Linked DNA regions of Rattus norvegicus. The protein of the gene in region 1 purifies or fractionates together with the protein of each later gene. This does not show direct contact. Links are inferred from orthologs where the notes say so. Each region holds a gene or a part of one and is shown on either strand. Other genes may lie near its edges.

Evidence for each region. Proteins that work in one complex are often made in the same cells at the same time.
Region 2: the proteins of Ccna2 (region 1) and Cdk4 purify together in Homo sapiens (affinity purification with western blotting; 3 studies listed by BioGRID, with this or other methods). This does not show direct contact. The link is inferred for Rattus norvegicus from reciprocal best matches to the Homo sapiens genes CCNA2 and CDK4.
Region 3: the proteins of Ccna2 (region 1) and Pkmyt1 purify together in Homo sapiens (affinity purification with mass spectrometry; 3 studies listed by BioGRID and IntAct, counting the BioPlex papers as one, with this or other methods). This does not show direct contact. The link is inferred for Rattus norvegicus from reciprocal best matches to the Homo sapiens genes CCNA2 and PKMYT1.

What each region holds. Positions count from the first base shown.
Region 1 is NC_086020.1:121,354,817-121,358,709, forward strand, and holds the end of Ccna2 (cyclin-A2), read right to left. Parts: intron 3,711-3,893; coding exon 3,598-3,710; intron 3,416-3,597; coding exon 3,192-3,415; intron 2,591-3,191; coding exon 2,383-2,590; intron 1,792-2,382; coding exon 1,678-1,791; intron 1,361-1,677; coding exon 1,227-1,360; intron 950-1,226; coding exon 901-949; 3' UTR 547-900; downstream 1-546. Other genes in the region: Exosc9 (exosome complex component RRP45), read left to right, coding at 1-25. UniProt on the Homo sapiens protein: Cyclin which controls both the G1/S and the G2/M transition phases of the cell cycle. Functions through the formation of specific serine/threonine protein kinase holoenzyme complexes with the cyclin-dependent protein kinases CDK1 or CDK2.
Region 2 is NC_086025.1:64,769,977-64,774,306, reverse strand, and holds the start of Cdk4 (cyclin-dependent kinase 4), read right to left. Parts: upstream 2,855-4,330; 5' UTR 2,714-2,854; intron 2,259-2,713; 5' UTR 2,243-2,258; coding exon 2,025-2,242; intron 1,894-2,024; coding exon 1,758-1,893; intron 1,646-1,757; coding exon 1,478-1,645; intron 1,329-1,477; coding exon 1,219-1,328; intron 513-1,218; coding exon 462-512; intron 374-461; coding exon 238-373; intron 1-237.
Region 3 is NC_086028.1:13,251,499-13,255,679, reverse strand, and holds the start of Pkmyt1 (membrane-associated tyrosine- and threonine-specific cdc2-inhibitory kinase), read right to left. Parts: upstream 2,855-4,181; 5' UTR 2,634-2,854; intron 2,622-2,633; exon of another isoform or gene 2,480-2,621; intron 1-2,479. UniProt on the Homo sapiens protein: Acts as a negative regulator of entry into mitosis (G2 to M transition) by phosphorylation of the CDK1 kinase specifically when CDK1 is complexed to cyclins. Mediates phosphorylation of CDK1 predominantly on 'Thr-14'. Also involved in Golgi fragmentation.

The DNA.
Region 1 (3,893 bases):
GAAAAAGAAGAGAACTGCTAATTAAGCTAAAGTGGTGTGGATGTGTATGTATATATATATATAAAATATATATATATATAACTAATAAGAGGGTATTTGCTCAGTGCTAACAGCTCTGGATATTTTTTATTTGAAAATCTATTATGAGCTGAACTTAATAAACTGTTTTGTCTTTAACATTATGCTTCGAATAAACTTTCTGGAAAACTTTTCTGTTGCATAAAAGCTTCCCAATTCATGTAAAACCTTATTTGTAAAAGTTGGTAAATAAAATGTCTCCATAAACTACTGTAACATGTGAGCTCTGAATGAGTTCTGCTACACTGAAAACAGATTCATCTACTTTTGGTTACTTATAACCAAGTCAGAAACTTGGTTTGGTTGCTTACAATTATTAAAATCAATGTCAAAATTTGAAGGCATCTTTCCCTGAAATATTTTATTTTATAAAAAGCTTTCCCTACCCCACCCTCAACAATAAAACAAATCAAATTAGCTTTTTTAAGTGACATCATTCTTTTTGCCTCAAATTAACTTTGACTTGCAAAGATTTCTGAATCAATTTATTCTTATTATCCTGACAGTTGGCAGCACCAATGTTAACAAACCAATTAAAATTAGCCAAATTATCTATCACTTTCAAAGATTTCCAAATCAATTTATTCTTATTATCTTGACAGTTGGCAGCACCAATGTTAACAAACCAATTAAAAATTAGCCAAAATCTAAGATAGACACATGTACAAAAGATATACAAATTAAAACCATTTTAAAAGTAATGGATAACATAATTTGTCTGTGGCTATACCATCTACATTCAGAAATGATTGTGAAATTAAAACCAAAGATAAAAACTGTACAGCATGAACTCTGAGCGATTTCCATTTCAGTCTTTCACTCTCACACATTTAGTGTCTCTGGTGGGTTGAGAAGAGAAACACTGTGATATCTGTTAAGCAGAGGAAATAAAAACCTATTAGTAAACATTCATCGGGGAGATCACAGAACAAACAATTTATGCGTCCCAAGACTGGAGAAATGCTACTTTTATTTGATTAGACTAATGAGTTTAAAAACATTTGATACTTAGGACACATATCTGTTCCCTTACCCATCTCTTACCAGATGCAAAGGCACAAAAGCTTCCTATGTTGACATAAGATCTTACTGAGGTGGCTGTGGCATATTACTGTTATCCTTTAGTCAGTAAAGAATATGGTTCTTACTTTGAATGCTTGTACTTTTCCCTTATTGACTGTTGGGCATGCTGTGGTGCTTTGAGGTAGGTCTGGTGAAGGTCCATGAGACAAGGCTTAAGACTTTCTAGGGTATATCCAGTCTTTTGTACCAATGACTCAGGCTACAAAGAGACAACCATTGAGTTTTTAGTAACAGCACAGGGCACTGACCATGAACTCACAGTTGATCTAAATGTTGGCACTAATCTTTGACACATTTTTTAATTTTAATTTTTATAAATTTATTTACATTCCAAATGTTGACCCCTCCCCTTTGCCTCCGAGAGTGCCAACCCCCACATTTTAGCTCACTCTTTTGACTGTTTACTTCCCCTGCTCGCAGCAGGTGACTCAGACTCTAGAAGCAGAGCTTTCAAATGCAAGTTTAAGGTTAAGACAAAGAACACCAATACTTGTGAAGGCAACAGTTAATACATACCCAGCTTTGTCCTGTGACTGTGTAGAGAGCTAAGTGGAAGGCAGCTCCAGCAATAAGCGATGGCAAATACTTGAGGTATGGGTCAGCATCTATCAAACTTAACTCTCCCAAAAACTGCAATGAAAACCAAAACCAAAACAACTTTACAGTCACACATCAGACTCAGATTCAAAACCTTGCTTCTTGACCAGTTTCTATTGTCTTGGGTACTCTCACTGGTTCCGTACCAGCCCTGGGAAAATTATTTCAATGTTCTGCTCTATTCTCAGCTAATAACTTAAAACAGCTACTAGGATGTTCTCTTTAAACCACTAGTTAGTGCCTTTCTGGAATGGTCATCTTTGGGCCTTCATTGGAAAATTCTCTCCTGGACCTCTCAGCCCTTATCCACGGACACCAGATACTCAAGTCTCTTACATATGCCATTTCATAAGCTAATGCTACATGCATATCACTAGTACAATATTACGTGTAATACAAAAAAGATCGATTGATATGTGTTTATCCAGTACATAGGCAGTTACATTTAATGTCTGTTCATTGATTCCATATGCGCAGAGCCCACAGATATAGAGGGCTATAGGATTTTCTGTGTATTGGAGCATTAACTATCTGGAAATACTTTCTCTCTTAAGCAGTGTTATACAATGAAACTAAGGGCTTGCCCCTAATTGCAACCTAAAACAAACCCCAAACTGGACTTACCATCGCTAAGCTTTCTACCTTGCAGTTGGCAGGCTGCAGGTGCAGGAAGTACTGGGTAAGGAACTGATTTACTGTTGGTGCAGCCAAGTCAAAAGCAAGGACTTTCAATACAAGGTGCTCCATTCTCAGAACCTGCTTCTTGGAATAGGTATCGTCCGTAATATACACAAACTCTGCTACTTCTGGGGGGTATATTTCTTCAAACTTTCTATAACAAAAGAAGTTGTAAATGAGTTTTTTCAAAAGAAGGTCTTGTCTACATAGACTGTACTCTACTCACTTCCACCAACCACACTCCCACTGACAGTTGACTGCCATCTCTAGCTGAGATGATTAAAAACCAATTCATAGGCCCAAATCACTAAGGGACTTCTGATTTGTCTCCTGAATACAATTTTTTTTTAAATTTCCTGATGTAAGGAAGAATTTGTTTATACTCCAGAAAGCACTTTATTGTAGAAGAACCATACTTTCAAACTCTTCATCTAGTGTGATAAAATGTATTCTCATTCAAGGCATGTAAAATCCAGATCTGGAAAGCTTTATATTTTAGACTTGAAAACAAGTTTCACCCTCTACTCAGAATCATCCCATAGCCATCCCTAAAGGTGTCAGTGTTAAAACTGGGGGTTGAAGAGATGGCACAATGACTGGGACCCAATGCCCTCTTTTGGCCTCAGCAGGCACCACACATGTGCTACAGATACGCACGATGCACAAAGGCAAAACACCCAATAAAATATAAATGGAATATAAATGGGGGGAAGGAGTGGTGAGTGATGATTTTGAACCAAATTAGCTAGACTTACGAAGCTAGCAGCATAGCAGCTGTGCCCACAAGCTGAAGCTTTCCTCTTAACACAGACATGGAGGAGAGGAATCTATCAATGTAGTTCACAGCCAAATGCAGGGTCTCATTCTGTAGTTTATATTCTTCTCCCACTTCAACTAGCCAGTCCACAAGGATGGCCCGCATACTGTTAGTGATGTCTGGCTGCCTCTTCATATAACTCACTTTAGGTTTACATTTAACCTGAAGAAAAACTCAGTAGGGTTAATTAAAACTATGATTAGTTACTTCACCATTCACAAAGACACAATTAACATACACTGTAGCCGTTAAGTTTAGCGTTGGAGTAACTTGCTAGCAGTTAGCAGGTGTCCATCGTTAGCCTCTCTGCTTCACTTAGCCATTTTTGATGAACAGAGCCTTACCTCCATTTCCCTAAGGTACGTGTGAATATCTTCATGATAGTCAGGTACTTCATTAACATTCACTGGCTTTTCGTCTTCTAAGACAATAGATATATCCATAGCATGGGGTGATTCTGTGTATGACATTAAAGTCAAAGTATTTATCTCTTTCGATAAAAACACCCTAATGGCAAAGCAACACTGAATATCTTATTCTGGTTTTAGGGCTACTGTCCTCATAGCTCTAGGATAACCTTAATCCCAAAAAAGAAGTATACATCAGTAGGCTACTAAGAGGACTGAGAATTACCTTAACG
Region 2 (4,330 bases), on another chromosome or scaffold:
GTCTGGGCTGCTGGTCGTTGCCCTCCATCTTTTACAAAGTCCAGCACTGCTGTCTTACCAGGGGATCTGTCCATCTCGCCACAAGAATGGCACTACAGAAGCACCTGACTTCTACGTGGATTCTGGGGATTTGAACTCAGGTCCTCAGTACTTATGCAAAGGAGCTCTACCCACTGAGCCAGCTTCCCAGGCCATGCCGTGTCTTGTCTTAACCCAATCCCTGCTCAGGCCCAGTACCAGCAGCAACTGCGCTCCAGATTCCTCCATCTCCGGCACCACTGACTGCACTGGCCGAGGTCCTCTGGGGGAAAAGGCTCCTCGAGGAAGAGAGACCTCTCGAGGCCAGTCGTCTTCTGGAGGCAATCCAATGAGACTGTAGGGACAGGACAACTGTCAGGAGGGGCCCCTTCCCAGCCAGTTGCTATGGAATGTTCCTTTCCTTTTCCTTAGTGGATACTTACTCAAAGATTTTGCCCAGCTGGTCAGCCTCAGAGTTCCCACAGAAGAGAGGCCTAAGGTAGAAAGATAGTCAAAGTACATTCTTTTAAAAACCGGAGTAACCGTTAAGTGGACCAAACTAGAGTGTGGAGCTAAGGAACAGGAAGTTACTAAATCCAGGGCATTTCAGATTTGCCCATGTGGTTTCTTTTCTAGGCAAGGTGATTGGTATGAACTGGGTAGGCTGGGACTATGGCTGGATGGCAGGGGACCATGCCTATGGAAACCCCAGGTTGGGTATCCTGCACTGTACATGCACAAGAATGGTCAAGAACAGATAAGTCTGTAAAAGACCTGGGGCAGAGTGTTTAGTTTAGTGGTACAGAGGCATGGCTGAGGGGTTGGGGATTTAGCTCAGTGGTAGAGCGCTTGCCTAGCAAGCGCAAGGCCCTGGGTTCAGTCCCCAGCTCTGAAAAAAAAAAAAAAAAAAAAAAAGAAAAGAAAAAGAAAAAGAAAAAGAAATAGAGGCATGGCTGAGTGTACGTGAGTCCTGATTCCAACCTCTAGCACCGTGAGAGAGCAGCAAAAGATCTGTGGAACTGAAGGTGGCTTAAGAGTTTCAAGTCCCAGCCAGGCAGTGGTGGTACATGCCTTTAATTCCTGCACTCTGGAGGCAGAGGCAAGAGTTCAAGGCCTGCCTGATCTCGTTTCTGTGTAGCCAGCGCTACACAGAAAAACCCTGTCCCATGGCAAACAAAACAAATGTTTCTAGTCCCATACTTCCGGCGAAACATCTCTGCGAAGATACAGCCAACACTCCACATATCCACAGGCGTTGCATATGTAGACTGCAGAAGAACTTCAGGAGCCCGGTACCAGAGCGTAACAACCTAAAGAGAATAGGAGAAATAAGTGAGTGTTGTCCTCGTAAACAACTGTTTGGCTCTGAAAACTTCAAGTACAAGACTCCTTAGTCGCTTTGGGAAACCACCAAGCCCTACCCCGAATCCCAACCTATTCCGGCTACTGTCTTACTGACCACAGGCGTGAGGGCCATCTGGTAGCTGTAGATTCTGGCTAGGCCAAAGTCGGCCAGCTTAACTGTCCCATTACTTGTCACTAGAATGTTCTCTGGCTTCAGGTCCCGGTGAACAATGCAGTTTGCATGAAGGAAATCTAGGCCGCTTAGAAACTGGCGCATCAGATCCTGGTTTTGAAGAAAGAAGCAGAGAACTGTGGAAACTATGTATCACTGTGTCCAAAATCCCAACAAGTTCTACTGCACATATCAATCCACCTCCACCCACCCCTCCACTCACCTTAATGGTCTCAACAGGCAAGCCCGGCGGAGGTGCTTTGTCCAGGTATGTCCGTAGGTCCTGGTCTATATGCTCAAACACTAAGGTGACCTTGATGTCCCGATCAGTTCGGGAAGTAGCACAGACATCCATCAGCCTGAGAAGAACAAATGGTCAGGAGCTGGCCATCCCCTTTGTTTCAACATGGCCTCTGGCGTTCTAGGGTCCCACTCCTGACTAACGGGTCCTATTGTCCTCTCCGCCCCACTCCCAATCCAACCTTCTCACCGTACAACATTGGGATGTTCAAAGGCCTCCAGCCTTCTTAACAAGGCCACCTCACGAACTGTGCTGACGGGAAGGCCCCCTCCAGCTGCTCCTCCATTAGGAACTCTCACACTCTTGAGAGCCACAAAGTGGCCACTGTGGGGATCTCGGGCTTTGTACACCGTCCCATAGGCACCGACACCAATTTCAGCCACGGGTTCATATCGAGTGGTAGCCATTCTCGGAGCAGGGGATCTACAATCACAGAGGCTTCTAATACCAAGCTCTCTCTCACAGTTAGGAGGAGATGACCCGGCAGTAACAAAGAAACTCCTGCACAAGACCTCACCAACATTATCACCAGCATCCCACCCTCCACACATCCAGGGCCCGCGCTCCTTAGGTAACACAAAGACTTCCAACAAACCCTCTTCCAGCCACGTTTTGTCCTGGAGGAAGAAAAGAATGCTTTCTTTTCTTTCGGAGGACCATTGCGCCCGGCACAAAGAAGATCACAGTGCACAGGGCTTGCATGGAACAGTCTGCGCTTCACTCTCTGAAATCACACCCTCGCCCACGACCACAAAGGCCCCACTTCCCGCCATTGGGCCACCTTCCATACTCAGCCAGCGACGCGCACGCGTGGGGAGCTGGAGGGTGCTAGTGCTCGTGGGGACTGGCCCCCCGCTTCTGGAAAGGGTTGCACTCACCTTACGCTCGGCCAAGAGCTGCGGAGGTGGCCCTTTATCTGGGCCCGGGAGCCGTTTCCTGCGGCGCCATACACCGGGGATCGGTCCCGGGCAGCTGGACGCTTCGGGCCAGACCATAGACACAGGCCGCGAGCTAGAGAGGCCCCCTCACCCCCACCCTCACCATGTGACCAGCTGCCAGAGAGGCGCGCGGAAACCCGGGAGGCGGGGCCGACGGCGGACGTTCTGGACACGTGACCTCCACCCATGCGCACTCGGCGACCGGGGCCCCTTTGATGGGAGGGGTGTGGTGGGGGAAGAGGGCGGGACCTGTACTGCCACGTGACCTGTTGCTATCCCACGTGACCCCTTTACTTTGCGCTGAGAAGCGGAGGTGTGGTTACGCTGTGTGGCACGTGACCGGCTGCCAAACCCTGACTGCGGAGGGGGTGTGTGGGGGCGAGAGAGGGTGGGGCACAAGGCGGTGCCATGGCAACCGGGCCAACCAGCTCTCAACGCTCAGCTCAAGGCCGAGCCTGAGAGCATCTTCAGTCTCACTACGCGTCTCTATGTGGGCGGGAGGTCGAGGTGCTAGTGGGAGATCCTGGTGCCAGAGATGGTGCTGTAACATTTCCACTCCACCGCCATGGGGAAACATTCGTATTTGTGTCTTCATTTTACTCATTCATTCAACAAAATTTTACTAAGTGCTTCCTTCCAGTTGGTATGCGATGTTTTTGTTTTGGTGTCTCAGTCACTCCGCCCTTTGAAGTGATGATAAAGATAGCTAATAAGGCAACCGTGGTCTTATAAAAACAGGGAGTAGACAATTTCTATCCGAGGAGGAAACTAAAAGATGGATAGAAGAAGATTAACATAGTAAGCCGCTGTATGGGGGGCGACAATGTAATGCCCTCCTTCTTCCCAACTTGTAAACCTCCCCAGGAATATTAAAAGCAGCAAGAAGTTATTGGAAATAAGGGTTCTTGATCTTACAAGTGTCTTTACACTAAGATTGCTATATATATATGTGATTGCATGAACAGACAACAGGGTGAGCACATCCAAGGGCAGTCACCACCACATTGCTGGAATATGACTTGTGTCCCTCTGCAAACCTGTGACTCCTCATAGGGGTCACATTCCTTTTTTTCCCCAGTCCTGCTTAGAACGTACCCTTGCCCTGATCAGCGTTTCCTAAATGGTCTGCCTACAGAAATCTAGTCAGATAGAGGTAGATCTGTGTGACGATTTGGTTGGCTCCAACTCCTTTATTGTCTCCCATCAATTAGGAGCATGAGGATAAAAGACCATGTTCCCAACTGTGAAGAATTGCTAAAATCTAGACCTATTTTTGGTGCCGAGGATTGGAGTCAGTGTTTTTATATGTAGTAAGAATTGGTTCAGTCACTGAGCTATATTCCTGAACTTTAAACTCTCAAATCATATTTGAGACACTATAGCTGAGGAGGCTGGTCTCAATAGCAATCTTGGTGCCATAGCCTCTAAATGCTGTTTTTACAGACATGAGCAACTACTTTGGCTGTTTTTACTGTTTTGTTTTAATGAAACAAGGTCTCATATAGCCCAGGTTGGTCTTAAAATGGACATGTACTCAAATACTTGACCCTCCTGCTC
Region 3 (4,181 bases), on another chromosome or scaffold:
GATTTATTTATTTATTATATATAAGTACACTGTAGCTGTCTTCAGACACACCAGAAGAGGGCATCGGATCTCTTTACAGATGGTTGTGAGCCACCATGTGGTTGCTGGGAATTGAACTCATGACCTCTGGAAGAGCAGTCGGGTGCTCTTAACCGCTGAGCCATCTCTCCAGCCCATAAAGCAAGTTTTAAGACAGCCAGGTCTACACGGAGTGACCCTGTCTTAAAATTTTTTTTTTTTGTTTTGTGTTTTTTCCCCCTCAAGACAGGACTCGTTATGTAGTTCAAGCTGGCTTTGAGCAGCCTCCTGCCTCAACCTCCAGAGAGCTGGAAATGCTTATTTCAAAAAGGATGCCGAACAATCCAACAGGAAAGCAGAATCTTCTCAACAACTGGGTAGCTACATAAAAAAAAAATTTACTTCAGGGGAAAAAAAAATCAACTTTATCTAGTTTTCTCACCCAGAAATTTATAGTTTTGTTTTGAGAAAAGTCTATGTAGTCTGGACTGATCTTGAACTTGAAGCAATCATCCTGTCTCAGCCTTCTGAGTGCTAGAATTACAAGCATGAGCTAGCACCATTAGCTGACATTCAAGGACAGAAATATTAGTGTTTGATCTTGGAATGGATGCCCCAGATTCACCAGGGGTGGGGATATATATATATATATATATATATATATATATATATATATGCACATATACATTATAATACATTATATATAAAAAGCATATGCATATATATTATATAAAGCATATATACATATATATATATATATATGCTTTCTTAGGATGTTTATTCATTTATGGATCAAACTGTTATTTAAAAGCTATTAGTCACTATGGGTCAAACCAAGGGGCTAACATGCCAGGAAAGCATTCTAGCAGGACTACACCTCAGGCTTTCATCTGCGCTTTCTAAATCTGAGATTTATTTTTGTTTTGTTTTGTGTTTTGAGACAGGTTCTCTAGTGTAGGTTGTCTTCAAGCTCTCTGGCTGTGCAGTCAAGGAAAACTGTGATGTTTTGATCCTCCTGACACCATCTCTATGGAGCTAGGATCATAGCCATGTCCCACTACATGTGGGGCTATATATTGAACTTAGGGCATGATTCATGTTAGGCAAATGCTAAACCAACTAACTTATTAATCTAACTCCAGGCCCTAAATCTGCTCTGCACGGACATACAGAACGTTGAAGGACTTAAGACTGGTGTCTAGCATGAATGCTAACTGCTGTCTTAATCAGTGCTTTAGATAGTAGTTGAAATGACTCAAGTATAGTAGTGTAACCGTGTCAGTTAACTAACTGTGTGCCCGGGGGACAGAAGGGGCAGAAGGTTGCTACAATGTTGTAATTGAAACAAAGGTAAGAAAGCAACAGAAAGAGTCCATTTTTGGGGAAGCCACAATGTATCAAAAGATGCCACACCTAGCCTCTGGTGCTGGGTAGATCAAATTACTACTTAGGTTAGGTACTTAAATTAAGAGGCTTGGCTGGAAGGCTCTCTTGTTATGGCTCTATTTACTTCAAGAATCCCATCTCAGAGGTGGCCTTTAGCTTAGTGATAAGAGTACCTGCCTAGCACAATCAGGGTCCTGGGTTTGATGCCCCCTCACCCCCAGATAACAAACACAAATCCCATCCCAGGTCTTCTTGAAGGAATTAGACTGTCACGATCCATGATAATGCTGATTAATTAAACCTACAACTGTGAAGGGACAACCTTAAGGGGGGTGGGTGGTAAGAGTACTTGCTGCCCTTCCAAAGGACCAGGTTTGTTTCTCTGACACACTGACATCATAAGCATCTGCAACTCCAATTCCAAGAGGTTCTGACACCCTTTTCTGACTTATGTGGCACTAGGCACAAACGTAGTGCTCAAACACACATACAGACAAAAATACCCATATGTTAAAAAAAATAACAAGAAGACTTTTTTTTTAAAGGAAGAAGGAATACAGACTCCATGCCTAGCACCTAGGAGTCCATCACCTTCTGTCTTCAGCCAGAAAGGCTCTCTCCTCTTAATGTCATCTTCGTTTCAAAGTCACTGGTCATTTACATTATAATACCTCTGGCCTGGTCAAACAGCCTTTATGGGGTGAAAAGGGTTGGTAGTGGAGTCCTGGCTGAGTCCAGAGTGGTCCTGAGCCACCAGTCAGCCAGGAGACCTCCGAGGTTTCCAGGGGCCTCACCCTTACTGAGCTGTGGACACATCTGATGACCACCACCTAGCTTAGACTGAGTTCCTCTCGTGCAGGGCCGCTGCTAAATTCGCTCAGTGGGCTGGGGAACTCTGACAAACAATTGCGTAGACAGGCTGTCACTAGGTCAAGGGGCTCTTCCCAGAGAGTGGCGGGGGGTGGGGGGGAGAGGGGCAGACCCAGTGGGAAGGGACAGAGGGCCCGGGGGAAGTAGGCGGGGCGTGGACGACAGCGCTGACCTGGCGTCATCTGAGGGCTAGCCGAGCCCGTGACAAACAGGGAGGGGTGGGGCTGCTGCAGGGGTGCGACCGGACACTGAGGGGAGGCTGGGGGTCCGTCACGGGGCGCAGTGCAGCAGGAGCGCGGGCCAGGGCGCCGGGCAGAAGAGCGGCGCGGCCGGGAGATCTCACTCGGGTATGGGCTCACCTGGGGAGGCTGGGCGGGGCGCAGCGCGGCGCAGCAGCGAGGTCCCAGGTTCCGGGTCGGCGGAGGCCGCTGGGGACCTCGCAGAAGCCAGGCAGGCCGGGATCGGGCAGCGGGGCCTTTGGACACCAGGACGAAGCACCCTCCAAGAAGGGGAACGGCCCGTGAACGCGCGCGGAGCCAGCTCGCGCCAAAAATTCCAAACCGGCCTCGAGGCCCCGCCCAGGCTCGTCTGTGGCCCCGCCCCCTCCTGGTACAGCCGGTCAGGCGCCCGGGGCACTGGCTCCGCCTCGCGTCCTGCGTGCGCACCGAGGTCTCCCCGCCCCCGAGGTTTGGCCAAGCGCTCTCCCTGCGCAGGCGCACCTCTTCGGGGACTATTGCCGACTAGGTAGCTAAATTCTTAGTCCTAGAGACCAGGTGGGAATGATCCTTGACCCGTCGGTGTCCTCCGGACATTTGTCGGCCTTCAAACTATGGTCCTCCTACCCGCTGCTCTCCATTGGCTGCCTTAATATTCATATCCATAAAAGGGGCATTTCCTCAGGAAGTTGCCACTGGGGCAGCTCAATCAAATGTCCGTTACGCATGATCTTCTGCACATTCAGATACCTGTTCTCTTCACCACAGGATCGCGATTGAGAGTGCCTCGTCTAAGGTGGAGTCTCCTTACTTCAGTTACTTCTGAGGCAGTTTACATCCTTTAGTTCTGAACTTAGTGTTCAACTCAGACCCCTCTCAGTCTCTTCCTGCCCTCATAACTGCCGGTATATGCTGGGCATTCCCAAGCTTGAGATTGTCACCTCTCTTCGAGACGTGGAGCCAAGGAACCTAAGATGATTTCTGCAGAAGGCCTGCGTGAGCAAACGTGGGATGGAGCTTGCTTCTGCAGGAAAGGGACCTTTATCGATTTCATGTAGAAGTGAGGTATCATGCTTTACAGCCAGTCTCCCTAAAATGTTCTGGCAATCTCTTAGGAAGGAAGGCCAGGCCCTACCTAGACCCAAGATCAAGAGCAGCACACTTCCAAGCCCTTCCCTTTGCATTAGCGTCTCCGAGAGCCAGAACCTTGTGACTTGGGTTAGTCCCTGTTGAGGACCCCAGGCAGGTCCCTCTCCAACTATTTAGAACTACTTTCTGCCGGCCCCATTTTCTGGACAGGCCCTGCCCACTTCTAACTATTCATTCCTCAAAGTCTAATTCATAATGATTAAAACAAACAAATAAACAAACAAACACAATAACTAAAAATACTGCAATGGTACATGCCTATACCCCAAGCACGGAGGCAGCCGAGGCAGAAAGAACACATGAGCCCAGGAACTGGAGGCCAGTTGGGCACTATAACAAGACCCCTATCTTAAAATCAATCAAATAAACGATAAGTAAAAGTTGGGTATAGTGGTATATAGCTCTGTAACCCCAGCACTGAGGAACGGGAGGCTAAGGCAGGAGAATTTTTTTAGTTTGAGGCTACCATAATAGATATCAGAAGTTCCAGGCCCTTTAGAAGAAGGAGGAGGAAGAGGAGGAGGAGGAAGAGAAAGAGAAGAG